Linked DNA regions of Notamacropus eugenii. The protein of the gene in region 1 interacts with the protein of each later gene in a pairwise test. Links are inferred from orthologs where the notes say so. Each region holds a gene or a part of one and is shown in the gene's direction. Other genes may lie near its edges. The genes, in order: EGFR, CFL1, PIM1 and PDGFRA.

Region 1 (8,066 bases):
ATTACAGGTGAGCAAAGTGATTCTTAAAAAGGTTAAGTGACTTCCCCATGGTTATACAGTGTTTCCTTGACTTAAAGGTCAATATACTAGTCACAATGCTACATCCCAACCCTAGTCAGTCCCCCAAATTGTATGTAATTATTTGGACTCTGCAACGATAAGCATTTGTTTTTCATCCTCAGAAGTCATTTATTCAAAAGCAAATGTGAGCTGGAAGTGAGGGGAAGATAGGGTTATCTATCACAAGGGTGAGTCACAGGGGTTGAATTGCTTGAGACAAAAAGAGAATGAAGGGTAAGAAATCTCGGTCCTGGGAAACTCCTAGCTTCTATTGAGTTTCAGCTCATGGACATTTTCTTCCTGCAAACCTTTCCTGATCTCCTTAGCTGTCAGTGCTCATTCCTTCCTTATCCAGTTATCATATATACGTACACAGTATCCCAAAAGTCTTAGTACAGTCTTAAACTATCAAAGGCTTTTGAAGCTCTTGTTAAGATATTTCAGTCATGTCCAACTCCTCATGACCACATTCGGGGTTTTCTTGGCAAAGACACTGGAGTGGCTTGCCATTTCCTTCTCCATCTCATTTTACAGATGAGGAACTGAGGTAAACAAGGGTGAAAGTGAAGATCCTACAGGTAGTAAGTGTCTGAGGCCAGAATTTTTGAACAAAGATGAGTCTTCCTGACTTCCTGGCTCTGGGCCAGATGCTCTATCCACTGCTCCATCTTGGAACACTCAAGTTTCAGCTATTTACATATTGTGACCCTTATAGAATTTCAGCTGCTGAAGGTCACCAGCTGACTTTTTGTGGGCTGTTTTGTCTTGGGGGGGCTCAGTGACCAGTCCAGCATCTTGCATGTAGTAGGCACTCAATAAATACTGGTTGGGTTGGATTCTATAACTTTGGCGAAAACTGTTTATTTTTTTCCTAGGCAAGATTCAACATAATTTTTTTTTACTCAACATTTCTGGGGAAGTATTTCGGAGTGTTGAGTAAGCCTTGAAAAGTTATGATCACATTGAACTGCTTCACCAACCTTAAGCTAATGCAGATGGCTATGGCAAGACCTGATTGTTCTTATGAGAATTATTTCATGCATGAAAGTGCGTCAGCACAATCACAAATTACATGTTCCTTTGTGATACCATCTTAATATACTACAGTGTCTTTAATACAAGGAGAGTGCAGTTCCCCACAAAGAAACAACACAAGACTGCAATGTGCATAATTGCAAACTCCCCAGCCCAGCATTTAAGGCCTTGTACATTCTACCTACCTTTCCCATCTTATCTCACCTTGTTAGCATTCACACACTTTGGGCTATCAGCAGTTTCCTGATCTAGACCATCCTGCACTCAGTGCATTGACTCAGGCATTTACTCACATCTAGAACACACCCCTTTCTCCTCATTCCTTCTCTTCCTTCTGGTTTCATCTTAGGTACCACCTTTGCCATAAAATCTTCCCTCATTCCCCTTCAGCTGATAGAGATTCCTCAACTTTGTCTATAATCCTTAGTATAAAGAGCTGGAATCTGAAAAGTCTGAAGCCAGATACCATGCTAAGGACAAGTCAAATCCCTTCTTTGGTTTTCTGATCCCTATCTTTAGAAAGTGAAGGAATTAAACAAAATCCTCTCTAAAGTTTCTTCCAGATCAAAGCAAACAACCCCAAGCCAGGTCTTAGTAAGCAAAGTGTGGGGAGGCTTGGTGCAAACTGAATATCTTGGGGAGAGATTGCTGAATTTGGGCATGGGTGTAGTCTGATAGTCACTACCCATGTAACCTCAGGCTAACCATATAACCTCTCCTGGCCTCAATTTCCTCATGTGTAAAATGAAGGATTTGGACTAGATGGCCTCAGACATCTTTTCTATGTTGTTATGATCCAATGAGCCTATAAAAAAATGGAAGCTCTAGGTAATTTCAACAAATTCACGTCAACATTTTTAAAGCTTCTGTGCTCAAAGCATTGATTGTATGTGCTATGGACACCAATATTCTTATATGCTACAGGGGGAATACAATGTGTGCATAAGAAAAAGAGAGGGTAATTTGATGGAAAGGGAAGGACCAGGAAGGACTTCAAAGGGCAGGTACCATTTAAGTTGAACCTCTTCTGCAATGAGAAGGCATTATAGGCATTGTACATGATTTGTTTGAATGTATGGGAATCAAAGAGAGAATATTAAGTTGGGCAATGACTAGTCATCCAATCTGGCCAGAATAGAGTAGGTGAAAGGAAATACGGTGAAATAAGGTTGAAAAGGTAGGTGAGAACTAGATTGAAGAAAATCTTAAATGCCATTTTTTAAGAGGCAGTAGGGAGTCAGAAAAGGTTTTTAAATAAGGGAATGGTCAGACCTCTACCTTAGGAAAAGGGAATGTGATCAAAAAAAGAAAAGAGAATGTGGTGTAAGGGAAGATGTAGGGGCTTTGGAGTCAAAGAACATGGTTCAAATGTCACAAATCTCTGTGACAATGAGTAAATTACTTAACCAGAGTTTCCGCACCTGTAAAATAAGGGAATTTGACTAGATTGTGTCTAAGGTTACTTCCAGCATTAATTCCCCTTTTTCCCCATTAATTCTTTTAATTATATTCACAGTTGTATGGAGGATGGTTTGGAGAGGAAAGAGATGGCAGGGAAAACAATTAGGAGGTTATTGCTATAGTCTGGGTGAGAAGTGTTGGTGGCCTAGAATAGAGTGGTGACCTTTTCAGTGAAGAAAGGATATGGATGTGGGAGGGAATCTGATTTTTTTTTAATACTACCATCTCAAAAATCAATTGTAATTAGACAGCTAAAGGCTGAGTTTATTCCTTTTATAATTAGTTTCATATTAACTTTATAGAAGCAATCTTTCTATTAAATAATCTTACTAGTAAATAATTGGTCAATTAGCCTTTAATCAAGTTTCCCCCACCCTACCCCAGGACGCTCTCTGCCATTCACCACAGTTTCTTTCTAAGGGTGAAATTTTAAAAAGGGGAAATAACTATCATTCATAGTTTCTGCACTACCATAGTCTACTTCCTGAGCTATGGGACTAATTCCAGGTTCTATGCACTTTACCATCATGGGAGCAACAAGATGATTAAGGTTGCTGAAAGCCAAACACAAACCTGTGTGGGGGGGGAGGAGGGGGGGAGCAATGGGGCATCAGTGGGCTTTGGGGGGAGGTTTACAAATGCCCAGGCCTTGGAGAACACAGAAATAAAAGGCACTGCTTTTTGCTACAATGAATACTTTTTGTTTTACTCCTTCTTTGTCTCCTAATTTTGAACTTGCAAAATCTGTTTTACTGGGATGTTAGTAGTTAATACACACTTGGGAACTATTTGTGAACTTTGAAAGATGGGGGAAGAGGTTAGAGGAAGCTTGGTAAAATCTTCACGATAAACTGAGGCAAAAGGGCTACATGACGTTAATTCTTTAGCAGATAATAAATCAGTGTATAAAAAGTAAAAGAGGGGAATCACTCTAGAACACTTTAATCTTCTTTCCATGGTGACATGCGGAAGGATTCCTATTTCCTTAACAAAATAATTTGTGATTTTCCACTTTTATACACATACATACATCCATACACAGATACATAATGAGAATATGGAGGAAGAACGTTACGTAAATAATTGACTAATGGTCACTGAAGAACAACGCACAGTCTCCTTATCTATCTTTTTTTGCTTAATGTTTTTTCACCCCTTGCTGTGATTTCCCAAAATCACCTCCTTAGCTTCAGACATTTTGTAACATTCAGTTACCAACTTTATAAAACTCCGGGTCTTCTTACTTCTGACTTGGAATTTAAAATCCGGCTATCCTTCCACTAATATTCGCCATTTGATTTCCACCTAAACATTAGACTTTTAAGCTCTGGGGTCGTCTGGCAAAGATTTCCCAGCCCGCATACCCTAAAAGGGAGAGGAGGGAAATGTGATGAGAAATATTAGGAACTGACCAAGTTTTGTTTGGTTTTGTTTTTTGAAAAGTTAATGGGTCTGGGGGAACGTTTGCCTCATGAAGTGAACCTCTCCCTCACCTCCACCCTCGAGGGTGAAGAAAGGCTATGGAAAAAAGAAAAGCAGCTCTGTCCTTTCTCTCCTTTGTGGGAGATGCCCACAGAGGCAGAGTACGTCGTTACCTGGCCAAACTTCCGAAAACTCTGAATCACACACTTAGGCAAGCTCTGAGTCCAGCCTTCTCTTGGGCGGACAGCGCTCACAGATTCTGGTTTTGCGCTGACCACCCTTCTGCCCTTCCGGCCCAGTTCACTGTCGCCCTGAAATCCTCCCACTGTCCCCTGCTTGGCTCTATCCCTCTCCACCGGGTGGTGGTGACCCTACTAAGAGGGGCAGCCTCCTCTCGGTCCCTGTGACGTAGCTCAGTTTGTTTGATGGGGATTCTCTAGGGAGAAACTCGCGAAGTTGGGGGAAAGTTTTTTTCTTTTGTTTTTTATGTTTTGTTTTTTCTGAGAACTGGGAAGGGAAAGGAAGGAGAGGAGAGAGTGCAAGAATCAGCTGTGGGTCGGAACCACTCTCAGCCTAGGTCAGGGTTGAGGAAACACCCTCAGCGCTTCTTTCTCCGCCTCTCCCCCACCTCTGTCCCAAAGGAGAAGGGAAAAAAACGGAGCCCACACTCACAAGTGTGTGCTCAAGGACTCGGAGTTGACAGCCTGTCTAGACCCCTACCCCACCTCCGGTGCCTAGCGCGGTAGGAGCTCCAGCTCGCGCACACGCACACACACATAGGCACACACACAGGCACACACGCGCACGCACACAGGCACACACACACACACACACACACACACACACACACACACACACACACACACACACACACACACACACACACACACACACACACACAGGCAGGCTAAGGGGCAGCGGCCGCACCGCCTCTTTCTCCTCCTCCCTCTCCTCCCCCCTCTCCACCTCCCCTCCGGGCGCTGCGGCGGCAGCAGTAGAAGCAGAGCGCCTTCCCGGCATGGTCTGCTAAGCCAGCCTTGTCGGGCAGCCCGAGTCCGGGGCAGAGAAGGCTCAAGGGAAGCTTTCCGACGCCAAAGGAGGAAAAGCAAGAAGCAAACGCCCCGGCCTCCTTGGGATTGATTCTGCACTTGGCAGAAATCTACCCTCAACGACATTCCGCCTTCCCTTGGCCCCCGGGCGGGGAAAAGGGGTTGTTGGCTCGTGAGATTACTTTGGGACCATCGAACTGGGACCGACGTCGATCCGGTGCGGCGATGGGGCTCTCTGGGGCTGCTGGAGCCGCTGTCCTGGTGCTGCTTGCCGGACACTTTTCCCTAGGCACGGCGCTGGAGGAAAAGAAAGGTAAAGGTGTCGCCTTGGCCTCCCGCCTCTCCGCGTCCCCTGCCTGGCCTTCGCCCTCACCTGGTCTCCCTGCCGCCAGCTTGCCTGTCCTCTTTCCACACCCCGCCCCAGCCTCAGCCCTTGCTAGCCGGCTGCCGGTCTCCCTCCGGCTCGCTAGTCCCAGTCGGCCGGCGCTCCCCTCCCCTCCCCCGTTTCCTGCGAGATCAGCTGTGAGCTCTGGCCAGCACCCCGGTGGGAGCTGAGCCTGGAGGGGCTGTCCTGACAATCCTGTCTGGCCCAGAGAGAAGGGGGTACTGAGGGATCTCTGGCCGGGGAACTGAGCTCCCGAATGGAAACCTGGTGTCCAGAGTCACTAGTTCCCGGGCGCGCCCTCAATCTGGCTGCGCGAGCTCCATCTGCGTTTGCACAGGAAACTTTCTCAGCCGGCTTTCGTCTCCTTGGCCCGCGCCGTAGACTAGCCGGGAAGGGGTGGGGGGCGGCTGGAGGCGGGGAGGCGGGGATCGAGGTAGTAGAGTTCTGGGGGTGAGGGCGCCTTGGCATTGGCCGCACTCTGGGGATGACACTGTGCAGCGGGGATAAAGGGACAGGGTCCCATGTGCCCCCCACCCCACCTCCACTCCCCCCTCACAGCCCTCATACTTCCCAGGACAGGTAAACAAGAGGGCATGAGATGCCAGGCTAGAGAGAAGTCCCACCGGTTAAGTGCTACTAAGGGTGTCTGTCACCTGTCCAGTCCTCTGGACCGGCTCCCTCGTTCACATTTCATTACTCTCTTTCTGTAGCCTGGATTGTCAGCAGTCCGGGGTGGGATCTGTGGGTGGTGGGAGTAGACGGAACCCTCCTCCAAACACACTAAACCAATAGGGAAAAGAGCCCTCAGCCCCATTCCCATTCTTTACTCTCAGGTTCTCCGCCTTCCGTCACCCTCATAACACTGCAGGATTTGGACTTGCTTCTTTTTAACTGTAGCTCTGTGCGTCTGTTTGTCTGTGTCTCCCTCCCTCCTCTCGCTCTCCCCCTCTCCCTCTCCCTCTCCCTCTCCTCCCTTTCCCACTCCAGTGACTGTCGGCCTGTGCTTGATCCTTCCCTGCTCTACAAGGTGCGCAGGTCTGTGTAGGATTCAACTGTGCAGCCGGGTCGCTCCCTACACTCACCTTTGGTTTCCTCCCTACTACCCTCCCTCTCTTACTTATTCCCCACTCCTGAGTCGCTTCACGTTCTTACATGCTTCTTAAAATACTTTGTTAAACTTCTAGGGGGCAATTCTGGAATCGTGGATGGTTTCTCTAGGGTTTCTTTGGAGAATGAGATATTAGATTATAGAATCCTCAAAACCATCTGATGACAGTAATCCCTTATAAAGATTCCAGTGCAAATCGTTTGGGGAGTAACTTTCCAAATGAACACTCCATACTCTTTCTCCTCTCGGGAATGGGGTGGGGAGTAGATAATCAAACCACACACCGGTTGAAAGAAACTGGTAAAGGTCCACCATTCTCTCTGAACCAAGCATGAGAGAATCTGATTTCGTGACTACTGTCAATAAGCTCCCTTGGAACAAGAAACATGCCTTAGAAGATTCTAATTGCACAATCTTAAAATTAAGGAACTCGTGTTCCAAGAGTCAGGTTCCGACCTGTTGTTGATGTCATTGGCACAGGGTGTTGGGGTGTGTGTGTGTGTGTGTGTGTGTGTGTGTGTGTGTGTGTGTCTGTGCTGGGGGTTTGTTGTGGGTTTGGTTTTTTTTTTTTTTGTGGGGGAGTTACATAAACTTCTTGACTATGTTTGCCCTTCTACGGATAAAGATGTTTTGAGACAGTTTATTTTATCAAACTTGCAAAATATAGGTGAGAGGGTGAATATTCTCGTCCTATACTGGGGAGTGAGTGGTCAGTGTTGAAAGATCAGAGCTGTTGTTTTTTCATTTAGTGAGTAGCCCTCAGATTTATCATCACAGATTTGGATATTTTGACAAATGTAAAATGTCTTCCCCACCCCCTCTTATTTTCAAAACTAATGCTATATTAATCCACTTTCCCTCACATTTAAGATTCATAGTTTCAGGAAAAAAATTCTTTTTTTCTCTCAGGTACAAGAATAATACCTTGTACCTTTCTAGGACCAATTGTAATTTTACTGTTCTTTTACTTGAAGGCATCATCTTTCTGATAAAATATTTTTCACAATACTTTAATGGTTGACTTTTGAATATCTATGTCTGAAAACTTTCTAGTATTCTATACTTTAAAATGCTTCAGCTGTTTCTGAGAAAATATAATTTGTTCTCTTTTTGTATCCATTTAAAGTAGAATGCCTTTTAATGTGGGGATAAAAAGAACCAAACTCTAAGAAAATGAATGTGCACATAGGATAGTAAAAGGGAATGGTTAATTTCTCAGTACAAATTCTTTAGGTTTGAGTGAGCCTATTTTAGAAAGAGTATTAGTTATGATCAGGTGCACTTAAATTCATCTATGCCTTTAATCAACAAAGTCTAATCAATGTCAATGAGAATATTTAAAAGAAATTTGTTTAGATCTTGAAAGCAGAAATATTTGTGCATTTAAAAGAATAATGACAGGTATGTGTGACTTCAACCTTTCGACCTTGCACAGATAACACAAGACTAGAAAGGGAAATGAGCTGAAGCAGATGAGCACCCTCTTTTGAAAGTCAAGGCAAACCTCTCCTTGTCACAAGTCCTAGATTTGTCCCCCAAGTTCTTT
Region 2 (7,734 bases), on another chromosome or scaffold:
CCTGCCTCCCTCCCAGGGGATTGGCTGGATCTCGGCTGTAGGCTGGCAAATGGTTCTCCCAGACCTTCGGCTTCTGCCAGCTTCTGGGACAGCTCCAGCCCCTCCGGGGTCAGCGAGTACCTGAGGAAGGCAGGAGAGCCAAGGGAGGATGTGGTCCCTGGCGCCCCAGGTCTGAGCCCTCTCAGGGTTCCAGCACCAGAGCCCTGGGCCTCACCTGGCTGGCTGCTGGCTCTTCTGGATGAGATTTCTGTGAAGGAGAGAACGCAGGGATGGCCAGGGCTGGGTGCTGCTGCTGAGGGCCACCTGACCAGACAGGGAGGCAGAGGCAGATAACGGTCACCTGACCAGTAAGAGGCAGAGGCAGATAAGGGTCATCTCCCATGGTCCCGTGAGGAGGCCCCAGGGCTGGAGTCAGAGGACCCCATATGTATCCCACTTGAGCAGGGGGAGCTTTATGAAAGTTCTTTCTTCTCTCTCAGATTCAGTCTCTCCCTCCTATAAACTGAGGAGCTGGATTAGACTATGTCTAAGGACTGGCCCTTCGCCTTACACTCTGCTCCACAGCAAAGTCACTGAGTGGCTAACTTCTCATGAGCCCCAAAGGAAAAGGCCAAGGCAGGGCTGTGGACAGCAAGCCTCCCTTCTGGCCTCTTGGGGACCCCTGCCATCCCCGGCTCTTACCCTGGGTGCTTCCTGCTCACACCTCCTCAGAAGCTCCTCCTTGGTCAGGAACCCTGGGCTTTTGGGATCCTCAAAAAAGAGGCAGAGGGTCAGTGTCCCCCAGGGCCATCCCTGTCCCCAACCCTACCTGGTCTCATTGAACTGCCTCCAGGCTGTGTCCCTGTCCTCTCCCCACCCTCCCACTCCCATCCCAGGCTTACCAGCTGCTCCCTGTAGAGAATCAGCAGCAAAGCCCGGGCAGCTGAGTGTCGGGGTGGCCTGTAGCTGCTGCGGCCACCAGCCTTGGGCTGGCCTGGGCCCTACATCAGGCAGAGGAGAGGTGCTCCTGAGTCCAACAGCTTCCCAGACCCAGAGCAGGGTGATGGTTTCCTTGTCCACCCCTCCTCAATTCTCCTGCCTGGAGACTGCCTTCCCCTCCCCAAAGGGGAGGCTCATCCCTCAGATGGCCTCAGAAGCCTTTGCTGGCACCAAGCTGGCATTCTCCAAGGCTCCATCCTAGGCTTTCATCTCTCCACCCACTCTCGGTGACCTCCTCACAGTTCAGTTATCGTTATTGTAATCTGTCCACGTGACCTTCAGTGTTTCTCCTAAGCTCCTGCCATCACCCCTGGGGGCATCTTTATAGGCTGGCCACCTTTCCCTGCCTAGATACCACCAGGCATCCAGTCCTGTCAATCATCCACCCATCTCTGACATGCAGAGCTCCTCTTCACACACACCTGGAGCCCCTCCTCACTGCTGCCCTGGATGACTATCTCTCAGGCCCCAGCCTCTGCCCACTGCCAACCAGCCTCCACACAACTAGCTTCCCACACATCTCCATCCTAGGTCTTGGTTAAAATGCCAGAGCTCGGGTGCCACTGTGGGACCCAGCTCCCATTCCCTCTCTGGTGTCTTTGGTATCTCAACATGACAGGCGCACCCAGCATTCATTCCTCCCTCTCCCTCCTTAGGATCTTAGCTTCTTTCAAAGCTCAGTTGGGGGGGGGACCTGAAAAAGGAAAGGATTCCTGACCCCCCCCAAGCTGTTCCCTCCCTCTTGCCCCTTGGTGCTGGCTGCCTCCAGACCACTGCCCTAGGCAGATTCTCAGCTCCTCCACGGGTCGATGGGGTTGGACACCCCACCCCCAGGCTGGACATGTTAAATGGCTGCTCTGAGCTCCCCTTTCTTCCAGAGATTTCCCATCCCCCCCAACCCTGTGAGCCTTAGGGGGTCCCTTCTCACCGACTGAGAAGGGACTGCATCCTCTGGGGGTGTGCTGAACCCCACCTGGGGAAGTTCAGAGACCCGCAGCTCGCCTAGACCTGAGGAAACAACCACAGCATCAGAACAGGGGCAGCTTAGAACAAAAATGTCAGGGCCGGGGGGGGGGGGGGGGGGGCTGAGAACGGGGGATGTCAGGGCCGGGGGGGCTGAGAACGGGGGATGTCAGGGCCGGGGGGGGGGGCTGAGAACGGGGGATGTCAGGGCCGGGGGGGCCTGAGAACGGGGGATGTCAGGGCCGGGGGGGGGGCTGAGAACGGGGGATGTCAGGGCCGGGGGGGGGGGCTGAGAACGGGGGATGTCAGGGCCGGGGGGGCTGAGAACGGGGGATGTCAGGGCCGGGGGGGGCCTGAGAACAGGGGATATCGAGGCTTTGAGGGGCCTGAGAACAAGAGTGGCAGGGCTTAGGTTCATTGCTACCCCTGGATCCCAAGGAGCGAAGGGCCAGGGTGTCAGAGCGGCAGGCCAGCCCCGCCCCTCGTCTCGCCCCCTAGCTTGGTGCCCGGCCAGGCAGATCCAGGCTGGGTGTCAGACAGGCCCCCCTCACCCCGGCCGGCCTCCTGGTGCTGCTCCAGCCTCTGGTCCAGCATCCGGCACAGCGCATCCCCAAAGTGCCGCAGGATCTTGGCTTCCTTCCCGCTCCTCAGGGGCAGGGGGTAGCGCAGCAGGGAGCGCAGGGCCTGGAGGTGCAGGGGCGCTGGTGTGGCGGGTCAGCCCCCAGGGCCCTGGCCCCGCCCACCTCCAGGGCCTTCCAGACCCCGCCCACCCCTCCAGTCCCCGCCCACCTCCCGCCCCTTCCAGGCCCCTCCCCACTCCCTTCCAGGCTCCTACCTCACCGGGCACACCCCACCCCCACCCTCCGGCCCACCTTCTGATAGACGAAGCGCGTCCGCAAGCCCCGGCCGGCCGCCTCGTCCCGCCACTCGCGGAGCCAGCGCACGAAAAGCGGGTTGGCGCAGGCGGGCAGCGGCCGCTTCCGGCCCAGGCGGGGCGCGGGCGCGGCCATAGCTCAGCTCTGACTCGAGTTAGAACGGCCGGCGCTCCGGGTGGGGGGCGGGGCCTCGCTCTCCTCCCCGCGCGCCACGTGACCCGAGCCCCCGCCCCGGCTCTCAGGCTTCCCGAAGGTGGAAGGTGTGGACATCACCCCCCCCCCCCCCGCCCACGAATGGTTACTTCTGAGTGCTGAGCTTCTCACACAGCTCCCCCCGCGGCTGTCAGCATTTGGGCTCTCCCTACCATAGCACCCAGGAACCGAGGTCCCACCCCTTCCGCATTCTAGCAGAAGGAGAAAGGAAGGGATAAACGAGTGCTGCGCGGATGGGGAAACGGGAACAGCGCCCCCTGTGGTCGGGAGGGCGAAAGAAAACCGCTCTCACCTTGGCTCTCTTGCAGGATCGGCCTCGGCGCCTGCAGGGAGGATGGGAGCCTCCAGAGGGCGTGCGGAAGGGTCTGAACCTAGAGAAGCGAAGGGCACTGGAGCTGGGGCATAAAGCCCAGAGAATTCACAAAGGGGACTGGAGCCCGGGAGATCTGCACGGGGGTGGGGGCGGGGAGGAAAGAATACATCCCCAATGATGTGCAAAGGCGACTGGTGGGGGGGAATCTGCAAGAAAAGGACTGGGCTACAGACTGGGGGATGTCCAGAGGGGGCTCCGTAGAGCCCGGGTTATGTTCAAGGGGTCCGGCTCGAGCCCTGGACGTTTGCAGCGGGTGCTCTCCGGACAGAGCCCGGGGGATGGGCAGAGGAGAAGAGAGCTAGAGAATTCACAAAGGGAGCGTGCGAGGAGGCTGGACGGGTCTCCGACTTCGCGCTTTGCATTCACTGCAGCGGCCAGGGGCAGGCACAGAGGTCACCGACCGCCCGGCTGCTGCCCAGCCAGGGATTTCCCGGGCGCTCGCCAGCCCTGGGCCTGCCCTCCCGCAGTTTCCATATAAGGCTCAGTTTCCATATAAGGAGCGGTGCACGGGCGCTCTGCCTGGCTCCGCCCCATCCCGGCTCATGCCCTAATAAGGCGATCTGGGGCATCCCAGAGCTGCAGGCGAGGGGGGGGCTGGTCTCCAGGGCGACCGCGAAGCCCGCGCCCCCTCCCCTCCCACGGAAAGCGACGGGGCGCGGGGAGAGGTACGAGAAGATGGGTGCCACCTTGCCTTGGCTCCGGGCGGATCTCACCGCCTTGGCTTTGGGCCTCAGTTATGCCATCTGTGAAATGGGGGGCTCTGCAGGCTCGGTTCCTAGTGCCGAAAATCTCAGCCATTCACATCTCCGAGGGAATGCCATGGGGGCGCAAATCCCCTGCTCCTCCCCCCGCACTCCCCACCCTCGGTGACCCAGTCATGAGTGGTGTACCCCCTCCCCTCGGTCTCCTGGTTGGTCGTGTTTGCGGAGGCAAGCACAGATGAGCCTATGGGCACCGAAAGAGGCTGCACGTCAAAGCCCAGTTTTTTTAGTCAGCGGCTTCCTGCCTCAGTTTCTCCGTCTGCCGTACGTGGTGCCCAGCTCCTGACAACGAGAGATAAGAGATGAGCCTCAGTTTTCCTCTCTGTACAATGGGGACTAGAACTGGGGACCCTTGGGCAGCTGTGACGTTGGGAATGGGATCCAAGGGCCCAGAGCCCCGGCCTCTCGCCCCGGGCGCCCGAGCCGACGTCGCGGAGCAGCGGAGGCGGGACACCAACCCAAGGTGGAGCGCTCCTGGCCCCGCCCCTCTCCGCAGGGGGCCGAACGCCCGAACTCCCCGGGCAGTCTAGCATGGCTGGGGAGACTCCACTTCCCGGCGTGCCCTGGGGCGGCGCAGCGCCTCCGAACTTCATTTCCCATCGGCCCCGTCTCCAGAGCGCCGGAAGCTCGCCCCGCCTCTCATTGTGCGGCTCCTACTAAACGGAAGGGGCCGGGAGAGGCCGCGTTCAGTCGGCTCCAGGCAGCGGCGGCGAAGGAGCGACGCCCTCCTCTCCTGTGGCCCTCGTTTCCTCCCTCACCCTCCCTCCCTCACTCGCTCGCTCCTTTCCGGAACCATGGTGAGCGCGGGCCAGAGAGCTCCGAGGGGGCCCGGCGCCCGACAGCGGGGGTGGTGGAGGCGGTGCAGCGGGCGGGGCGGTGTCCTCATCCTCCTCTCCATCCTCCCCTCCGTCCTCCCCATCCCTTCCCCTCCCCCTCCTGGGGCGCCGCGGGCGAGACTGGCGGCTGGCGGAGGGGCTCGCGCGCCGGGCGGGTGGCCGGGCGGGCGCGCGCGCGCCCCGACGCCCCCCCCCGCGCGTGCTCGTCTGACGTTGACGGTTGTTGGGTGCAGCGGGCGCGCGCGCGACCCTCCTCCTCCCAACCGTTATGTAGTGTTGGGGGGGGTTAGGGGCGCGCGCGGCCCCCGTACCCGGGGGCGTCGCGCATGCGCGCACCTCCAAGGGCTGAAGCAAAACGAGGGGCAGTTGGGGAGGGGGAGGAAGGGAAAGAGAGGGGGCGCGCGCTCAGCCCAGAGCACGCGGCTCCGCAGCTGGAGGAGGGCGGGGTGTCGGGCCCTGCGTGATGCCTTGGGGGCGGCCTGGCCCTTTCCGGCGAGGATGATCCGCCGCTGCCCACCCCAGGCCGGGTGGGGGGGCACTCCGAGGCTAATGCCCAATTTGGGGAAGTGGGTCCGGAAGGCCTGGGCCGGACCCCTCCCCCCTTCCTGAGGGGGTGCCGAGCTTGTCTTCCTGGGGCGGGCTCTTTCCCCTCCCCCTCAGGAAGCGGCGCCGATCTCGGCTGCTTCCTCGGGGCCTTTTTGGTGTCGTGGTAGGGGGAAGCGCCAGAGCAGGACCCCCGTCCTGGAACTGGGGGCCCGGGAGGCTCTGTCCCCGGTTGTGGGGGCAGGGGGGCTCCAGAGCCCTCATCTGCGGCCCTTAGGCAGGAGCTGCCCCTGAGCTAGAGGGGAGGCGTGGCCGGAGCTGGGCCGGGGGCTCCGGGGGCTCGGGGCGGCCGAGAGTCAGAAGGTCAGAGTTGAGGTCCTGCCTTCTGACGCTGGTCAGCGTGGGCTCTGCGGCGTTTAGTCAGACGAGGAGTAGAGCGCCTCTGCCGGGAGCGTGCCCCGCAAAGGCCCGGCAAGCCTCCGAGCACCTGCTGACTTGTTCCCCTCCGTGCCCACAGGCCTCTGGCGTGGCTGTCTCGGACGGGGTGATCAAGGTGTTCAACGACATGAAAGTTCGCAAGTCCTCCACCCCCGAGGAGGTGAAGAAACGCAAGAAGGCCGTGCTGTTCTGCCTGAGCGAGGATAAGAAGAACATCGTGCTGGAGGAGGGCAAGGAGATCCTGGTGGGTGACGTGGGGCAGACTGTGGATGACCCCTACACCACCTTTGTCAAGATGCTACCGGACAAGGACTGCCGCTATGCCCTCTACGATGCTACCTACGAGACCAAGGAGAGCAAGAAGGAGGACCTGGTGTTCATCTTCTGGTGAGTCTGAGGGCGGTGGGCCCCTCAAGGCCAGGCTTGCCCAGAGGCACGCACTGGGAATTTTGGGCACTGACTGTTTTCTCTCCTGCCAGGGCCCCTGAGTGTGCCCCCCTCAAGAGCAAAATGATCTATGCGAGCTCCAAGGACGCCATCAAGAAGAAACTGACAGGTGTGTGTGTGCGGGCGCGTGTGTGAGAGATGGCATTCCCAATAGCGTAACCCTCTTTGGTGCTCAAGGCCGAATTTCGTTGGGTCTGAAGAACTGGGTGAGAAGCCTGACTGGCTGTGGTGGGACCTTGGAAGCTCAAGGCTGGGTTTTTATCTGTAAAGTGAGGGCACTTTGGCTCTGACTCGCCCATTTCCATTCCTTCTCACAGGAATCAAACACGAATTACAAGCCAACTGTTATGAGGAAGTGAAGGACCGCTGTACCCTGGCTGAGAAACTGGGGGGCAATGCCGTGATTTCCCTGGAGGGGAAGCCCTTGTGAGTCTCCCACGTCTGGCCCTCCTGCTGGGGCTGCCCAAGCCCAGTGGGGGAGCAGGCTGCCCCCTTCCTGCCAGACCCAAGGGCTGGGGGGATCCTAGCAGGGGCAGGGCAATCCCTTCACCCCTTTGCCAAACCACCCCCTGGCCTTCCCAAACCGCCTTTGATATTCTCATTCCTCCTGAGTTGTAGCAGACCAAGGTCCCCCCGATGCCCAGATGGGGGGGAGGCCAGTATTTTTTTTTAACTGACACCCCCAGTTTTCCCCCTTCCCCGGTGCTGCCAACTTCTAACCGTAATAGTGGCTTTGTGCTTGTTGTTTAGTTTGGTGTGTAAATGGAATGTTGTGGAGATCCCTTCCCCCACACAGCCGGCTCCCCTCCCCCCCTCCCCCAGTTACTCATGTGGCCAGTAAAAGGAAAGTTCAATTAAAAAAAAGACAAATAAAGAAAAGGTGAGCTGCTCTGCAGGTAGTTGTTTTCTGGGCTGGGCAGGAGGGATTTGGGGATGGTAAAGTATGGCAGGTTCCCTTTACCATCTCTCCCGAGTTCTGACGGAATTGTTGCCTGGGCCTGGGGCTTTGATCGGTGCCTTCTGGCTGGAAGACAGCCGTCTTCTCTGGATCTTCCCTACAGTTTGACCTAAGGTGGGCCCTTCCCAAGCCTTCTGATCTCTGGGCTATTGGTTTTATGAGTCTCTTTTCCCTGGAGTTGGGCCCAGGAGGAACTCTGCCAGATGAGCCTGTTACTGGGAAGGGGCTTCTCACTCTGTGGAGGAGCTAGCTTCCCGTGAAGCCAGCCTCAAGGGAGCACACAACATGCTGGGTCCAAAGCAGGCAGCTTTATTTCCATTAGTGAAGGAAAGACTCCGCTGGCTTGCTG
Region 3 (8,325 bases), on another chromosome or scaffold:
CTTTGAAATGTATCTTTTTTAAACATTCCAGATTCAGATGTTCTAATGATTAAAACTGCATGAGAGACAATTGGAGTACAAGAAATATCAGAAAGATCATTCCCCTAGCCCACAAAGAGTTAATTCTGAATATCTAGATATAGAACAGGTATCCTTGAAAGCACTTTTATATAACAGGTCCTTTTCAAATAAGGTCTGATTTTGTAGCCTCCTACTTGGAGTGGCTTTATTAAACATTCATCATTTTAATTCTAATTGATGACATTCCTAGCATCTTCAAGAGAAAAAAAAAGTGAGGTTGAAGTTGATTTTATATGTATTAGCTATTTTGAATCATTCTCATAGGACATATTTAAACTAAAGTGTGAAAATAGTGCAACAAAATTTGGACCACTTTTAGAAAGACGGCTCACATCTCTATAAGGCACCACAGATAGTACTTTCCCCACAGAAAAACAACAACAACAAAAACCCCATTATTTCATAGGTAGTGCAGGTATTGAGGTAGACAAGTTGCACAGTAGATAGAGTGCTGGGCCTGGACTCAGGAAGGAACTCATTTTCCTGAGTTTAAATCTGGCCTCAGACATTTACTAGCTATGTGACCTCTGGGCAAGTCACTTAACCACGTTTGCCTCAGTTTCCTCATCTGTAAAATGAACTGAAGAAGGAAATAGCAAACCACTCTATCATCTTCGCTAAGTGGGACACACCTGAAAACAACGAAGGTACAGGTATTAGGGTCAGGACTAAGGTTTGTGATTTCGTTGACATAGAAAACTCTCAAGAAGGAATCTCCATCTTCCAAAGTAGATGAACACCTTTACTGAAACTTGGAGTCTAAGAGGAAAACTGAGAGTGACATGTCTAAGGTCAAACAGCCACCATGTGTCAGAGGAGTCACTTGAGCTAAGGGAGGTCTTCTAGGCTTCAAGGCTGGCTCTCTACGTACTACTCTATGATGCCTCTCCTACAAGCACAGTTAGTACTCCATTTTTGATGCTGGGGAAACTGCAGCTCAGGAAGTTGAAAGGAGTTAGAGAGTAATTGATCATGAAGCTGGTAAAGACTCATGCAAAAGGGCTTACTCAGACAGTAGGATCTGCATAATACACACAACACTGCAACAAGGTTTAATATTGATCCTAAGATTTCTCTTAAAAGTCATCCTGTAAAGCTTCACTTTCTCCTTTCAATGAAAATAGGCAGCTTTAGTGAGCAGGGCTTTTAAAGGGTCTAAAAATCTTAGCTTCAAGCTCAGCTTTGATACAGGCTGGCTGTAAACCTGGATGAAGCCCTAAACCTCAGTGCTCCAGGCTACTCTCAATCAAGGAATATTTACTAAGAGCCTACTGCCTTCAAGGTATTGTGCTTATATGCTATTGAAAATGTAAAATAACAATAAAATGTAGCTATATACGCAAGGACAAATGGCTCATGTTTATATAATCTTTATAATTTACAAAGTTTACGGTCGCACACTTGGCAAAATACAGTGAGAACTCAAATCTTTATCATTTGAAGAGCAGTGCACTTAATATCAAAATCATACTGCCTCTGAGGCGGTTATGCTGGAGGTTAGGCAGACAATGGATAAAAAGTAAAACAGCAATAAATAACACAACAGTACAAGACATGCCACAAGGTTTATTTTTTATTATTATTTTATCACCAAATATGTAGAATAGGCAATAGGAGAGTAGAGTAGGCTAGGAAGGCTCCATGAAGGAGCTCAGAGCTGAATTTTTAAGGAGTAATTGTTTGGAGCAGCTAGTTTGCTCGGTGAATAGAGCACTGGTACTGGAGTCAGAAAGACCAGAGTTCAAATCCGGTCTCAGACACACTTACTTAGCTGTGCCCCTGGGCAAGTCACTTAACCTCCGTTTGCCTTAATACCCTGGCGGGGGAAATAGCAAACCACTCCAGGATCTTTGTCAAGAAAATTCCATAGACAGTATTGGTGTGTTATGGCCCACAGGGTAGAGAAGTCCCGACAAAACTCAACAATAACAGTACTTGATTAGGATAGAGGAAGCGATGAGGTTGAAAAATGCAAAGCATATTTAGGAATATAATAGGATCCTAGGAGATAGAACAAATCCAATTTAGATTGAAGTGATAGGCCCTGAGATCAAGGTTCCTGAGAAATAAGGCCTGTCTGGAAGGCTGGGCCAAGTTAAAGAGTTTGGAGTCAGTTAGTCTTTTAGTGTATTCATTCATCATCCATTTTAATAATATGTACAAAGGCAATGAATGTTGGGACAAACTATGTCTCATTGTCTTAACATCAAACATTAGATTTCAGCACCAGTGTGGTGGATTGGGAGTCGAAAGACCTGGATTTTAAAATTCTATTTCAGACACTTACTATCTGAGTGCTAACAGACAAATGAGAACCTCTCAGAGTTTGGTTGGATACTATTTGTACTTAAGTCAAGGGATTGTTCTGAGGAAATGATACAAATGTGAGTTATTCTTAATTAATCCATAACACACAAACAAGAAAATGAAAGGAAATTGACTAACAAATGTGCTACATAAATAACATGAGCAAATAACAGCGCCAGGTTTTTAGTAAAATATGTAAACGTTACAGTTGACAGTGGTTGTCCGTCATTCAGACACTTCCCTATTTTTCCTTTCAAGCAGCAGCAACCTAAGCATGAAGTATTTAAAATAAAATCCTGCTCACTAAACAGTTTTATTTTCAAACCTACTATGTTCAAGATATGTGAAGGAGGAATTAAGGAAAAAGTGATAGTGCTATGCATTTAGACCATACAAAGACAAAACAGCTCCTACCCTCAAGCAGCTTACTAACGTAAGTACTGAAGGGATAAAACACCTGTGCCCACAAATGAAAATACAAAGAAATTTCAGAATGGACTAGAGGAATGGGATCTGAACTTTTGAAGGAAACCTGGAATTCCAGAAAGAAATAAGGGGAGAAGTGCATTCCAAGCCCAGCAGGGCAACCTCTGCAAAGGAGATGCAGATTATACTAACAGAGGTAATAAAAGGGAACAATATGAAATAAATTCAGAATCATAGGTGGGAGCCTGATTTTGGAGGTGCTCTTTCATTGGAAAATCCCTGCCAGATGGAGGAATTTGTATTTTGTCCTGGAGGCAGCAGGGAGCTACGGAAGACTTTGGAAGAGAGGAATGGGGAAACTTAGATCAGCAGGATGGAGGCTGGATTGGAGAAGGGTGACTGGAAGTTGAGGAACGAATTAGAAGGGATGTGACTGGGTGATAATGAAGGATGCTGAAAGCACCAGGTGGAGGGGAGCAAAGGGAGGGAGGTGAGTCCACGACGTCTGGAGCGAGGTGGGAACCCGGACGCCTTCAGCAGAAGTAGAGAAGTTTGCGGGATGCTTCGGGGCGGTGGCACGCTTAGTGAATTCCGTTTCGGACCTGTGGAGTCCGGGTGGAGGTGCTCCGTTCTCATCCGCGCTCCCCCCCGTCATCTTAACTCAGTGTGTTTCATGGTTAGACATCCTCTTAAAGGAAGGAGGGAAAATTCAGTGGCTCCTTTCGCACTTTGTTAGCAGTTAGTGCACGGTTAGGAAGGTGGGGCCGGAGCAGGCTCGGGACGAGCAACATAGTAGCAACAAAGCTGGGTGTGGCCAGGGTGGGGGAGGGAGGTGAAAACTGTGAATGAAACCGGGAGCTTCCGATCCAGATGGGCTGGGACTCCGCTCGCAGGAGCGGGATGTCCCCGTGCCACCGCACCCTGCGCAGGACCCGGGCTGAACCGCGTCTGGAGCGGAGGCGGGGATGACGGCTACCCTGGCCCTCTTTTCTTCTTTTTAATTGTACAAAGTATCTAAATGCCACCTCTTGTAGAAAGGCTGAAATCATCCGGATGGATAAATAACCCTTCCCTTGGTTTTTGAGAGTTCGGAGCCCACTTTTGTTCCAAAGACCTATGAGACATCCCCATTCCTTTGGTGACTCACAGCCCTGCAGTGCCACCCTCCACCCCCTCACCCGCACCGATGGGCGCTTGCCCTTCAACCGCGGGCTCCCCGGGAGCGAAGCCCGCGTCCACTGAGCCAGGCAGAGCGGGCATGGAGGTCACGCACACACAAACGCACACACACAAAGACACTCACCCCCCGTCCCCGACCACCCTGCTCGACATACACACCCAACCCCCTCCGCTGCCACCAATCGTCCCCGAACTTGGTCTACGGCAAGCCTGACCCCAAGGCTCTACCGCATAGAGAAAGAGAACGGGGCAGAGGAGAAGAAGAGACAGAGAAAGGGAAAGAAAGGAGAGAGGGGAGAGGGGGGAAGGTGGGGGAGAGAGGGAGGAGATGGAGAGAGAGAGGGAGGGAGAAAGAGGGAGAGAGAGGGAGAGGTGGGCAGACCCCAAGCTTCCTTTGATGGCTTTTGTTATTGTTTGGGTTTGAATTGATAAGCCCCTCCCCATCCTTCCTCCCCGTGGCCCTGCACCCGGCTCCCGCCTCCTCCTCTCGGAGCCCGCACTTCTCTCGCCCCTCCCCCTCCATTTTGGCGCCTTTTCCTTCCCGCCACGTCGAGGCGGCGTAGCTACCATTCTGACGGTGGGGGGAGGGGGCCTCTGGGGGCGGGGCATTTGCTTTATGCAGATCCGCTGGGCTCTGGTTGGCTGGGGGCGGCCTTGCGGGGGCGGGGTTTGGTCGTGCCGGCCGTGCGGTGGGGAATTCTCCTTCCCAGCTGCTTTCCCCACCCTCCACCCCCCCTTGTCTTCCCACCAGCGACTCGGCAGCCGGGCGCCCCGCCCCCGACCGCCCCGCCCAGCCTCCCGGAGAGGCCCCGCCCGTCCGCTCGCGCGCCCGCCCCCCGCCCCCCCGCTCCCGCGCGCTACGCCCCCTTTACTCCTGGCTGCCGGGCGAGCCGGGCGTCTGCGGCGGCGGCGGCAGAAGCGGCGGCGGTGGCGGTGGCGGTGGCGGCGGCGGAAGAAGTCTAAGAAACAGCAGGGACGGCGGCGGCGGCTCCCGGGGCAGAGGCGGCGGCAGCAGCAGCGGCAGCCCGAGCAGCCCCAGCCCGAGCAGCCCCAGCCCGAGCAGCCGCAGCACCAGCCGCAGCAGCAGCAGCAGCAGCGGCAGCGGCGGCGGCGGCGGAGGCAGCGGCGGCGGCAGCAGCGACGGGCCGGCTTCTGCAGCGGCGAGCTCGGCACCGCAGCGCCGCGGGCTCCGCTGCGGCACACTGATCCCGCCAAGCCGCCCCGGCAGCGCCCCCACCCCAATCCCCGCCTGCCCCCCCACGCTCCGCCCGGCCCCAGCGGCGTCCGCCCCATCGCCCTGTCACCCCTGTACCCTGGGATGCTGCTGTCCAAGATCAACTCCCTGGCCCACCTGTGCTCCGGGCCCTGCGTGGAGCTGCACCCGGCCAAGCTGCCTCCCGGTGAGGACCCACCCCGGGGTGGAGGGCGGGGACCCGCACCGGACCGCACCGGACCTACGGGGCAGGGAGGACGGCGGGGTCAGGGGCGGGGAGCCGGGGCAGGGTGCCCGCCGGCAGGGCAGAGCCGGCGAGGACGAGGACGCTTGGGGAAGGGGCGTCCCGGGAGGAAAGGAGATGCGGGCACTGACGGGGGGGTGCCGGGATGGGCAGGGGGCCGCTTCCAACAGTCCCTGACGGGGCTTTTTCCTCCGTAGGGAAAGAAAAGGAGCCCCTGGAGAAGCAGTACCAGGTGGGCCCGCTGCTGGGCAGCGGTGGCTTTGGGTCGGTCTACTCGGGCACCCGGCTGGCAGATGGCGCGCCGGTAAGCGGGCTCCGAAAACGCCGGGGAGCCCTCCCTCGACTCCGCCTGGCCCCGGGTCCGGCTCGGAGTGGAGGGGGAGGCGGAGGGAGAGCTGTGCGGGGGCGGGCCTGGGGAGGGGGCTCGGCGCTAACCTCCGACCTTCCCCTTGGGGGCTTTGCAGGTTGCTATCAAGCACGTGGACCGGGACAGGATCTCGGACTGGGGGGAGCTGGTAAGTGCCTGGGACCCGTGTCTTTGGGGGTGGGGGCGTGAGCCTGGCTGTGTCCCCGCGTGTCTCCTGACCCCCGTGACTCTTGTCCGCAGCCCAATGGCAGCCGAGTGCCCATGGAAATTCTCCTGTTGAAGAAAGTGAGTTCGGGGTTCCCGGGGGTCATCCGACTTCTGGACTGGTTCGAGAGGCCCGACAGCTTCATCCTGGTGCTGGAGCGCCCGGAGCCGGTCCAGGACCTCTTCGACTTCATCACGGAGAGGGGAGCCCTGCAGGAGGAGCTGGCCCGGAGCTTCTTCTGGCAGGTGCTGGAGGCTGTCAGACACTGCCACAGTTGTGGGGTGCTGCACCGAGACATCAAGGACGAAAACATTCTCATCGACCTCAACCGGGGGGAGCTCAAGCTGATTGACTTCGGGTCCGGGGCGCTGCTCAAGGACACCGTCTACACCGACTTTGACGGTGAGTGGAGACCCCGGGAAAAGGCAGGTGCTGCCCTGACCTACAACTGTCCCCCTCCTCAGGGGCCTTCTTCGCCGACCTTTTTCCAAAGGTCATCTTGCCTGGCTGGAAGAAGCGGGGCCGCTTCCAGAGGGTGGGGCGGGAGACAGCAGACCTTGGAAGTTGTGCTGTGCGCTTAGAGGAGACCCCCGACCTAGCCTTTAGGGCTTTGATAGGCTCAGAAAGGAGCGAGCTTCTGCTGTCTGTATCGAGAACCTGAGTTGTGGCGTTCCCCTCCTAACCTGCCCGCTTAGTTCACGGGGAGACCGGCTTCCACCAAACCTGACTTGTCATAGCCCAGATTTTAAAATCCTGACCCACTTTCCCGAGCACTGAGGGGGTGTTGAGGACAGAGTGATGAGGGGAGGGAGAAAGGGCTTTGGAAAGGGAATTTGCTGGTAGTTTCTTGTGGGTGGTCTCGGTTTATTTTTCTTTTGAACTAGCTGAGTCAGTCAGGAAGGAGAAACTGTTCTCTTGTCTTTTCACTAAATTATTCATTCTGCTGGTAAAGGTGGTAGTGGTTTGTTTTTGTTTTTCAGTTCAGGGATGAATGTTGTGAAATAAGATCTGTAGATTTTAAAATGAGTTCATTCTGCCCCCACCCCCTCCCGCTTGATCTCACCACTCTCCCCTCGCCCGGTGCCAAACAGAGGCATTAGGGTAAGGGGAGGGGTTTGGGGCTGGTCCTTTCTGCAGCAGGGAGGAATGTGGGAGCTTCCCTGCACTTGACATCAAAGAATAGGAGGGGTGGGGAATGATCTGAGAGGTTGAGGCGAGCAAACTGCTGACTTTCAAAACCTGTGACTCGGGCTTGCGGTTTGTGTTTATTTGCCCTTGGAAGATGCTGGGCCTGGGCTGCATTTTTTGTATTTCACAGTTAATGGCTGGCAGGACCCTCCCACCTTTCCAGGCCTCTGCTGCCCCCTGGTGAGCGAGAAGCAGGGGTGTGCCTTTTTTTTTTTTACAACCCAAAGTTTGTAAACAGGAATCACGTGGCCTAGAAACCAGCCCTACTGCTCTGACCTCAGCCTACTCTTCCTGCCTGGGGAAGAGGAGGTGGTGGCCAGGAGAAGAGGGCGTGGGCTTGGGCTAAGCACATGCTCTGGGCATAATAGCATTTACTAGGGCATGGGAGCCCAATTTCTGATGTCATGGAAGTGTACCAATTTGGATGAGAGTCAAGTGTTGGCAACATTTGAATTTACTTTTAAGAATAGTTGGTTGTAAGTATGTCAGATTTCCTTAAGACCTACTCTGATTTTTATTATGGGTGGTCTCCTGAAAGGTGGGGGGGCAGGTTCGACCTTGGCATTTAGATTTGAAAAATGGGCTTAAGAGATCTAGTCCAAATCTCCTTTTTTACCAAAGAGGAAACGTGAGACTCAGAAGAATCCCTCATTTACCAGTTCTCCGAATGTGGTCAGATGCTTTCTGAGCATCAGTTTCCCTGTCTGTAAAATGGAGCTTTTATTTGTACATCTGCTTCAGCACAAGGATATTTTAAAAGTTTTTTTAAATTATTGAAATCTGAAATCACATTCTAGATTACTTGAAAGTTTTAAATTCTTATATTTAAACATAAGCTTAATGTTTTCAGTTCTGGATATGGTGCCAAAGAAGAAAGGAACCTAAAAGCAGTGATAGCTTTTTTAATTGTTTATTTTTAGCATTTTTTTAAAAATTTTGAGTCCTGCATTTTTTCCTCCTCTCCCACCCATTGAGAAGACAAGCAAAAGGTAGCAGTTATACTTAAGAAGTCAAGTCATAGATATTCCAAGTGGTAGTCCAGGTTGTCTCTTGGAAATTATTAATTGTTCATAATAAGTGTTTCTGTCATAATAGGTTCTGTACCCCCAAAAGGA
Region 4 (7,253 bases), on another chromosome or scaffold:
TGAATGGAAAAAATCCTCAAATACTGATTATTTAAGCCACTGGCTTATTAATTAAAATAATATATGCCCACAACCACAAACTTGAAGTCAGATTAACCATGGCATCTTTGACCTTCGTGGGGCATACTGAACAAATTGCCTCCCTTCCCCGCCCTGAGATGCATTCCAGAGTCTCAGTAGGCTGAGCTGTACGGTCTGACTCAACAAGCCTCCCCCTTAGAGAGGGAGTCACAGTGAGGGGTCCCTAAGGAACTCCTTGCATCTCGTGGGGAACACCTTTGACCCCTCACTAGCCTCAAGGCAGTCTTTACTGAAACACATCCTCCTTCTCTCTCTCTAGAGGACAGGCTTCAAGTGCAGGGTGGCCCAAGGCAACTCGAAGCCTTTGGAGCCTCGGGCTCCGAGGGCCTGACGGCCTGAGGCAGAGGCGGATCCCTTCTGCACCCCCTCCTCCCGGCCTCAATTCTCTTCCCCAGAGCTGAGAACAGCACATCTGTGCGCCACATCCCCACACCCTCCGAAGAGTTTTCCCAGGAAAAGATTCCCCTCCCCACCCCCAACTCGCCTCCACCATCCCAGCCCTGCAGGGAAGCGACTCTGTTGGGCTGCGTGCAGAAGGGGCTCTGTGTGTTGTTTAGTTGGGAGTGGGAGATGGGGGAAGGGGAAGAGGGCTGCAGTGACATTTCGTTTGTAATCTCACCAAATGGTTTTTGGTTTTCGAAACCTGAACCAACAAAGGAAAAGTGTTCTCCCCACGGTTCCCTTCTCTCCACCTCCATCCCAACCCCCAGCACACCAGCCCAGCTGAGCTTTTAAATTATTGTCATTTGTTCGGATGATTCCGTAAGTATTGCCCATGCTTTCTCTGTGCCAAGAAACTGCGTGGACGTCACAGATGAAGTTCCTTTTGGTGGGACTGGGGGTGAGCAGAAGGGAAGGAATGAAAGAAAGGAAAAAAGAAGGGGAGGGGAAACCTCAAACAGCCATCTCTCAGTCAAAACTGAGAAGTTCTGAGCAGTGGAGAGCTCTGGTTTTAATTCTTTGTTGTAATACCAAACCTGGACTCCAGCAGCTTAAAGGAATGACGAATGAACGACTTTGGTGTAATCTCTCTCTCTCTCTCTCTCTCTCTCTCTCTCTCTCTCTCTCTCTCTCTCTCTCTCTCTCTCTCTGCCTCCCTCTTTTCTTTTTCATCTCTCTCTCTATGCCTCTCTCTCTCTGCCTGTCTCGCTGTCTCTGTCTCTCTCTCCCACTTTCCATATACTTATTTGCTTCCTCACTTCACCGACGGCTGAAACGTCTGAATCTCAGGCTAGCAGCGTTCTGAACTCTTGCACCCTCCTGGAGCAACCAGGACATCCATAGACTTTACCAGACCTCAAGTCTCAGTTGAAAAACCTCATTCTTAACCCCTTATCCCATACCCCTCCCTCTCAAAAAAAAAAATAGTAAGAAAAAAAGCTAATACGGGCGGGGGTTGGGACCTTCACACGGCGCAACGCCTTAAAAAGGGCAATAGGAATGGGGATCGGGCCCGAGCGGGTCATTCCTCCTAAGGGCACATATGGTGAGTGCGTGGCACCTCCTATGTTTTCTATCAGTCAGATACCCAGATAAGAAACAAATAAACAGTAGTCTGACTTAGAGGCAGAGGCTTCTCTCCCTATTCCCCGGCTCGCAGACCACACAGGACAACCAAGTACGTCGAGGGAGCAATCTTGTAGCATCTTAGAACAACACCAGGGAAAGGTCCATCCTAGCCCTTTCCAGCCCACAGAGAGCCAACCAAGCTGATTGACAGGCGTAGAGCGAGGTCGTCCCTGAAATCTAATACAGGGACCGCAGGGGTCGGGAGAAATTGAAGCCAAGGATCCCAAGCTGTGGAAATGGCTGTCTTTCTGGCAGGCCTCGTTGCAGGCTCTTGCAGGGAGCCTAAATGCAAGGTCTTGGTGGGTTTGTTTTATTTTACTTTTGGACGGGAGGGAGGCGCATCATTGGCTTCTCCCCATTTCCTCTCCTTCTGGTCTCTGAGAGTGGCTCTCTTGGAAACAACAGCCTTTCTTCCATTTGCTTTCTCCCTTTCCTCCTTACCCCCTACCTTAGCTCTATGACCAGTCAACCTCAGCTCGCTTCAACCTTCTGAGAATGTCACACATGGAAACCTTTAGCAAATGTTTGTTAATGATCATAACAAAGACAGCATTCAAATTAGGCAGGTAATTACAAACAGAAGGACAATTGGGTGCTGGCTTGCTCATCTATTTTCTTTTTCTTTAAAGTGAGGTTACCGCCGGACACTCCCGCCTGAGTCTCCATGTAGGCGAATAAAGCCAGGGCTCCATAAAGCGACTCTGAAATGAACTGTGAAGTTACCATTTGTGGGCGGGCAACATTGGGGCCCTCAACTAGAGAGGAAGGCGCGACTGGATGCCTGTTTAGCTGAAGCAAAGCAGAGCCTGGAACCCTGATTTATTGTGTTCTCGTTCCTTTTTCCCCATTTTCAACGTTGTTTTTAGAAAAGGTACAAATAGCACCACCTACCATTGTGGATTTTTTTTTCATGATCTCCCTTCTTTTGGGGGATGGAGTAGAGAGGGTCGAGAGTCTCTTTGGTTCTTTGTCTACAAGCATTACGGTATCCTGTTAGCATTTCGAACAAGGGACTGTTCATCTATTTGCCTCCAATGATTTCCTGAAGGAACATGTGGAAGCAATAGTGGGGTTGTGCAGTCACCCAAGCTGAAGATGCATTAGAGGAGAATATGCAGAAAGGACTCGAGGCAGCAGGGACTCTCAGGCTCAGCCCTAGGGTCTCCCTCCTCTCAATTCTGTGGGATCACTCCACCGAACCCCTTAAGGTTTGCACGCCAAGCTGAACTTCGCACATCAGCCCCCCCAATTTTTTTAGGGGGTGCAAGCTGGAGTTAGTTTTCTATTCCCCTTCTCCCTACACTTCAGCTGGGAGCTGGGGGCAAGGGAATGCTTGGACTGGGGAGATGACATAACCATGTTTCTTTATGAGACTTCTCTCTAAAAACTCTGCCTGAAAAGACGGAGTGGTAACATTATTCGAAATACATTCGTGACACCTTTCCCTCTCCCAGCGCACGAGCACACACACACACACTCTCTCTCTCTCTCTCTCTCTCTCTCTCTCTCTCTCTCTCTCTCTCTCTCTCTCTCTCTCTCTCTCTCTCTCTCTCTCCCTCCCCCCACCCCCCCCCCGTGTCGAGAGAGGGAGGACTGTTTTCTGGAGCGGCAGCGCCCCCTGGCTCACAGAAGCAGGATCACACACACCACTTGAAGGAACCTCGTGCGGAGCTCGCTTCCTAGAGAAGCTTGCATGCAGATGGCCCTCAGTTTTCCTCCCTTGCTCCTGAGGTGGAGAAATAGAGGACTAGGAAAAATGCCCTCCTCCCGATCTGTTCTTGCAGAAGGGAGCGCTGGAGGAGGGGGCAAAGGGCTCCATCCCCCAATGCCCATTTTAAAAAGGATCTCCCACATGCTTCATTCATCTCAGCCTTCGCAGAAGCCTGCACCAATCTTCCAGATTCCAGATTCCCCTCAAAGACAAAGCACGGAAAGATACGTGATTTTAAAAAGTTAAAGATCCTACATCAGCTCTCCATTCTTTATGTTCTCATCAGACCTATCAGGCTGCTCTTGGAAACAGCCATCAGCAGCAGATCGCACCAAAAACATCGTCTACATTACCTGTTCTCCTAAAGACTCAGGGTCAAAATGACCCAGTGACTATGTGCGATCTACGAGGGACCCCATCTTTGCCACACCTTCCTCGCCCCCTGGCCAGAATCTAGCGAGCCCCACTAAATATTATTCCTAAATGTAATTTGTTTACTCTGGAGGCTGTATCCACAAATCAACATTTTTTTAAAAAAAAATTACCCCAAACATGCAGCAGAGAAAAGTTCCATTAAGTGTGCAGAGTTCATTCATGAAACTGTGAGCAGTTTGTATTTTAATGAAACTTTTCCCCCTGCAGCGCAAGACTATCAAAATACATCCCCCACACCCTGCACCCCATATGGCCAACTCGTCCCTCCCCACCCCCAGTTGTTGATAAAGACTGGAGACTGGAGGTGGACCCCCTGCCTAAGTAAAAGAAGACAGGGAACACCCAAAGCTGTAGGCAGAGCGTCTCCAAACTCCGAATATGAGAGTCAGACTCTTATTTTGAAGAGGGTTGGAGGGGGCTTCATTCCTGACAGCTATTTACTTAGAGCAAATGATTAGTTTTAGGATAGACTTTAACATTGAATCTATTACAAAACGCGGGTTTTGAGCGCATTACAGTTTCAACTAAGAGAGAAAGAAACAGGAGGAGGAAACAGTTATAGGAGATAGGCATATATATATAATTATATCTAAATATATTTTTTACTGTGCATGGTTTTCATTGCGGATTAACGTAGAGGAGAGAAGGTAAGGGAGGACAAATTTTTGAATTTTCGACTTTGTTTTCCTTTCGGGGGAAGTTAGGTCCTGAGGCTGGAAGAAATATGGTAATTTCACAAACTTTGACGATGGGGAAAAAATGCTGGAGCTGATCTCTGCATTCAGAGAGTAATTTATCCTAAGTAAACCTGGAAAAGTTGGGAAGCAAAATTACTTGAAAAGAAGAGAGAGACTGAGGACTTTTAAAAAATTAGTATTTTTCTAGCCTCCTTTCTAGGGCCCCCTCCCCCTTAAAAACTTGAAATTATTTAAACATCATTTTGAGATAGGAAGAGGGCATTATTTAAGAAGGCACTGAAGCGCTTTAATCTGGTATTTCGCTTTTTTTTTCTTTTGTGGGGGCGGATTGAGAAGGAATATAGGTCTTTTGCCCTGCTCCTGGTGACCGTTCCTGGGAGATGGCATGTTTTTAATGAGTATTTTCAGTTCTCTCGGGGGTTTAGCTGATCGAGGCTGCCCGCTCTGTCGAGGGAGGTCCAGACTAGTTTTGGGACAATTTGGAGAAGGGAGGTAGATTTGTGAGAAGAGAGTTCCAGAGGGAGTAGTGTGACTGGGTGAGAAAGGCTTTGCTGGAGGTATCCTGGGACCTTGGATATACGGACTGGTTGGAGAACTGGGGACGCCAGGGGTGCGTTCGTAATTACTGGACGGCGTTCTACTCTGCAACAAGGACTCAGACCCAGGGGAACCGCGGCGGCTGAGAGGCGCTCTCCGGGGTTATTTGCGTAGGGCTGGGAGGGGGTGTGTCGAGGTTTTGGGGGGGGGGCACTCTGCTGCCCGTTAGCCAGGGACTCCTAAGGCGTCAAGGAAAAAAGTCGCAGCTCTGCAGTGATAGAGGGCTCTCTACTTCGAGAAATGGTTGGATGGATGATGGATCTGGTCTGGAAGAGGCGGCGGCATTGGCTGGCTGTCTGACTGGCGGGGGGAAGGAGTTCTGGCATTAATGACAAACACATTTGGAAGAGAGAGCAGAAGCCGTCGTCGCACCGCATTCCAGAAACCTGGGATTTGAGGAATTTCGAGCTGGGATCAGGCTCCTTTCCAGGAGTCATTATTATTATCGTGAGCGTATTTAAAAAAAAAAAATTATTCTGGAGTATTGCCGTTCTCTTGGATTCTCTGGCAAACCACGGCAACAGGAAGGAAAGTAGGAAAATCGCCAGAAAAGTGCCGGATAATTTCTCCAAGCAACACATGTGGGGAGTTTAGGGGAGGACTAAGCTGAGAAACTTTTTGCGCAAGGTAAGAGATGGACTGTGGGGCGGGCCCCTGTCTGTGGTCTCCACAGCCTCTTAAAAAAAACTACAGCCACCTAACGGGGTCCCCATCTCCAACCCGTTGGTCCAGGGCCCCTGGCCTTGGCCCCTGCGCGCGTCTCTTCTAAAACTTGTGGCATTGCCTGCCCTGGTGTCCCTGGCCTAGCCTCGCTCTTTTCTTCTCCCTGCTCGCCGCCGTCTGTTCCTAGTCTCCCCAGAGTCCGTCTTTTGGCCTCTTTGCCCGCCGCGCTTCCTTTTCCCCCCATCGTCTATCCCCATGTAAATCGGGTTTTACACGTGAGATTAACTTCTCTTCCGAGCGCCAGGGCGCGGGCACTGCAGTCGGAAACAATTGACCTCGGCTGTTCTTTTTGAGAGGCTCGAAGGCAGCCGAGGGAGAGGGGCAGATTCTATTGCCTGGTGGCTGCCCTGACTGAGGTGGCCAAGTTTCTGGGGCCGTCTGGCTCTGGTCTCCGGGAGCCTCTTCTCTGGGCTTGTCTACGTGACCCCCTCTTCCGAGTTGCTCATTCCCTCTGTTTTGGGGAACTGAGAATTCACCGAAGCACCGCTAAGGAGATCCTGTCACATCCCGATTCTGGGGTGTAGGGGAAAAGGCGGAGGGCAGAAGGGAGTGGGAGTCAGCATTACGACCCTTCTCTTTTGGACGGCGCCCCTTCTACTGAGATGGGTTCCCTTGGAAAAGTCTCGCGGCAGGGAGGCCTGGGAAATGGGGTTTTGGGCTCGTCAGCCAGTGGATTGCTCAACTTTTTTGGAACGAATAGCCTTGGGACCATGATCACTCCATGATAAAATTGGACAGCAATTTGGACTGAGTGGAAAGGGATACAAGGTATAATGGAGAGACTCCAGTCCATAGGCTTCAGCTACACAACACAAGCCCCTCCCTGCCCCTAAGGGAAGGAGCAACAGAGTGGGGGGTAGGGGAGAGGATAGAGTGAAGGGGGAGGTTCTGGGATGACCACAAACATCAGTTGCCTCAGTTTTCTCTCTCAGCAACTGAATGCCTTAGACTGAGACATCTCAAATGCCAGATTCCCACAAGCCTCTCTCTTCTCCACCCGCTGTCCCACATTCAAATGCAGCCTTCTTCCAGATAACCACTGGAATATTCTTTTTCTTTCCTCATTGCTTTCAAAAATCGAGGTTGCCTAACCTCCACTTTGCCTCTCTGTCCAGACCCAGCTTCCTGCTGGCTCTTGGTTCTTAAAATGTAATTTAAATTTGAGACTGAGAATAGTGAAGGGAAGAGGGAAAAAGTGTGAAAGCCTGAGGCCCCCCCCTTCTAAATTTCGAAGGACAAGAATCGGTTTCTTTGCTGAGCAGATAAAAACTCTGGACTCCCCCCACTGAACGCCCAAACCACAGCAGCTCTGAGATGCGTCCAGCTGTGGGACCTGAGGTAGGGAGGGGAAGGGAGGAGGAAGCAACAGTTTCTAGTTTGGGAACGCCACTGGCGCCGAATGGGGTGGAGAAGTGCGCCCCCTGGGCCTCGTCGACTAG

The links.
Region 2: the proteins of EGFR (region 1) and CFL1 interact in binary tests that used the Homo sapiens proteins (3 or more experiments, as listed by UniProt). The link is inferred for Notamacropus eugenii from reciprocal best matches to the Homo sapiens genes EGFR and CFL1.
Region 3: the proteins of EGFR (region 1) and PIM1 interact in a protein complementation assay, tested with the Homo sapiens proteins (3 studies listed by BioGRID and IntAct, with this or other methods). The link is inferred for Notamacropus eugenii from reciprocal best matches to the Homo sapiens genes EGFR and PIM1.
Region 4: the proteins of EGFR (region 1) and PDGFRA interact in binary tests that used the Homo sapiens proteins (3 or more experiments, as listed by UniProt). The link is inferred for Notamacropus eugenii from reciprocal best matches to the Homo sapiens genes EGFR and PDGFRA.

Annotation. Positions count from the first base shown.
Region 1 is NC_092874.1:420,223,873-420,231,938, forward strand, and holds the start of EGFR (epidermal growth factor receptor), read left to right. Parts: upstream 1-4,946; 5' UTR 4,947-5,252; coding exon 5,253-5,340; intron 5,341-8,066. UniProt on the Homo sapiens protein: Receptor tyrosine kinase binding ligands of the EGF family and activating several signaling cascades to convert extracellular cues into appropriate cellular responses.
Region 2 is NC_092873.1:18,552,594-18,560,327, reverse strand, and holds CFL1 (cofilin-1), read left to right. Parts: upstream 1-4,723; 5' UTR 4,724-4,957; coding exon 4,958-4,960; intron 4,961-5,416; exon of another isoform or gene 5,417-5,526; intron 5,527-6,059; coding exon 6,060-6,367; intron 6,368-6,459; coding exon 6,460-6,536; intron 6,537-6,744; coding exon 6,745-6,857; 3' UTR 6,858-7,318; downstream 7,319-7,734. Other genes in the region: crossover junction endonuclease MUS81, read right to left, coding at 1-120, 215-303, 682-750, 882-980, 1,907-1,986, 2,493-2,625, 2,814-2,951.
Region 3 is NC_092873.1:94,837,739-94,846,063, forward strand, and holds the start of PIM1 (serine/threonine-protein kinase pim-1), read left to right. Parts: upstream 1-5,311; coding exon 5,312-5,393; intron 5,394-5,647; coding exon 5,648-5,754; intron 5,755-5,914; coding exon 5,915-5,965; intron 5,966-6,057; coding exon 6,058-6,424; intron 6,425-8,325. UniProt on the Homo sapiens protein: Proto-oncogene with serine/threonine kinase activity involved in cell survival and cell proliferation and thus providing a selective advantage in tumorigenesis.
Region 4 is NC_092877.1:105,670,875-105,678,127, forward strand, and holds the start of PDGFRA (platelet-derived growth factor receptor alpha), read left to right. Parts: upstream 1-4,248; 5' UTR 4,249-4,443; intron 4,444-4,484; exon of another isoform or gene 4,485-5,718; intron 5,719-7,253. UniProt on the Homo sapiens protein: Tyrosine-protein kinase that acts as a cell-surface receptor for PDGFA, PDGFB and PDGFC and plays an essential role in the regulation of embryonic development, cell proliferation, survival and chemotaxis.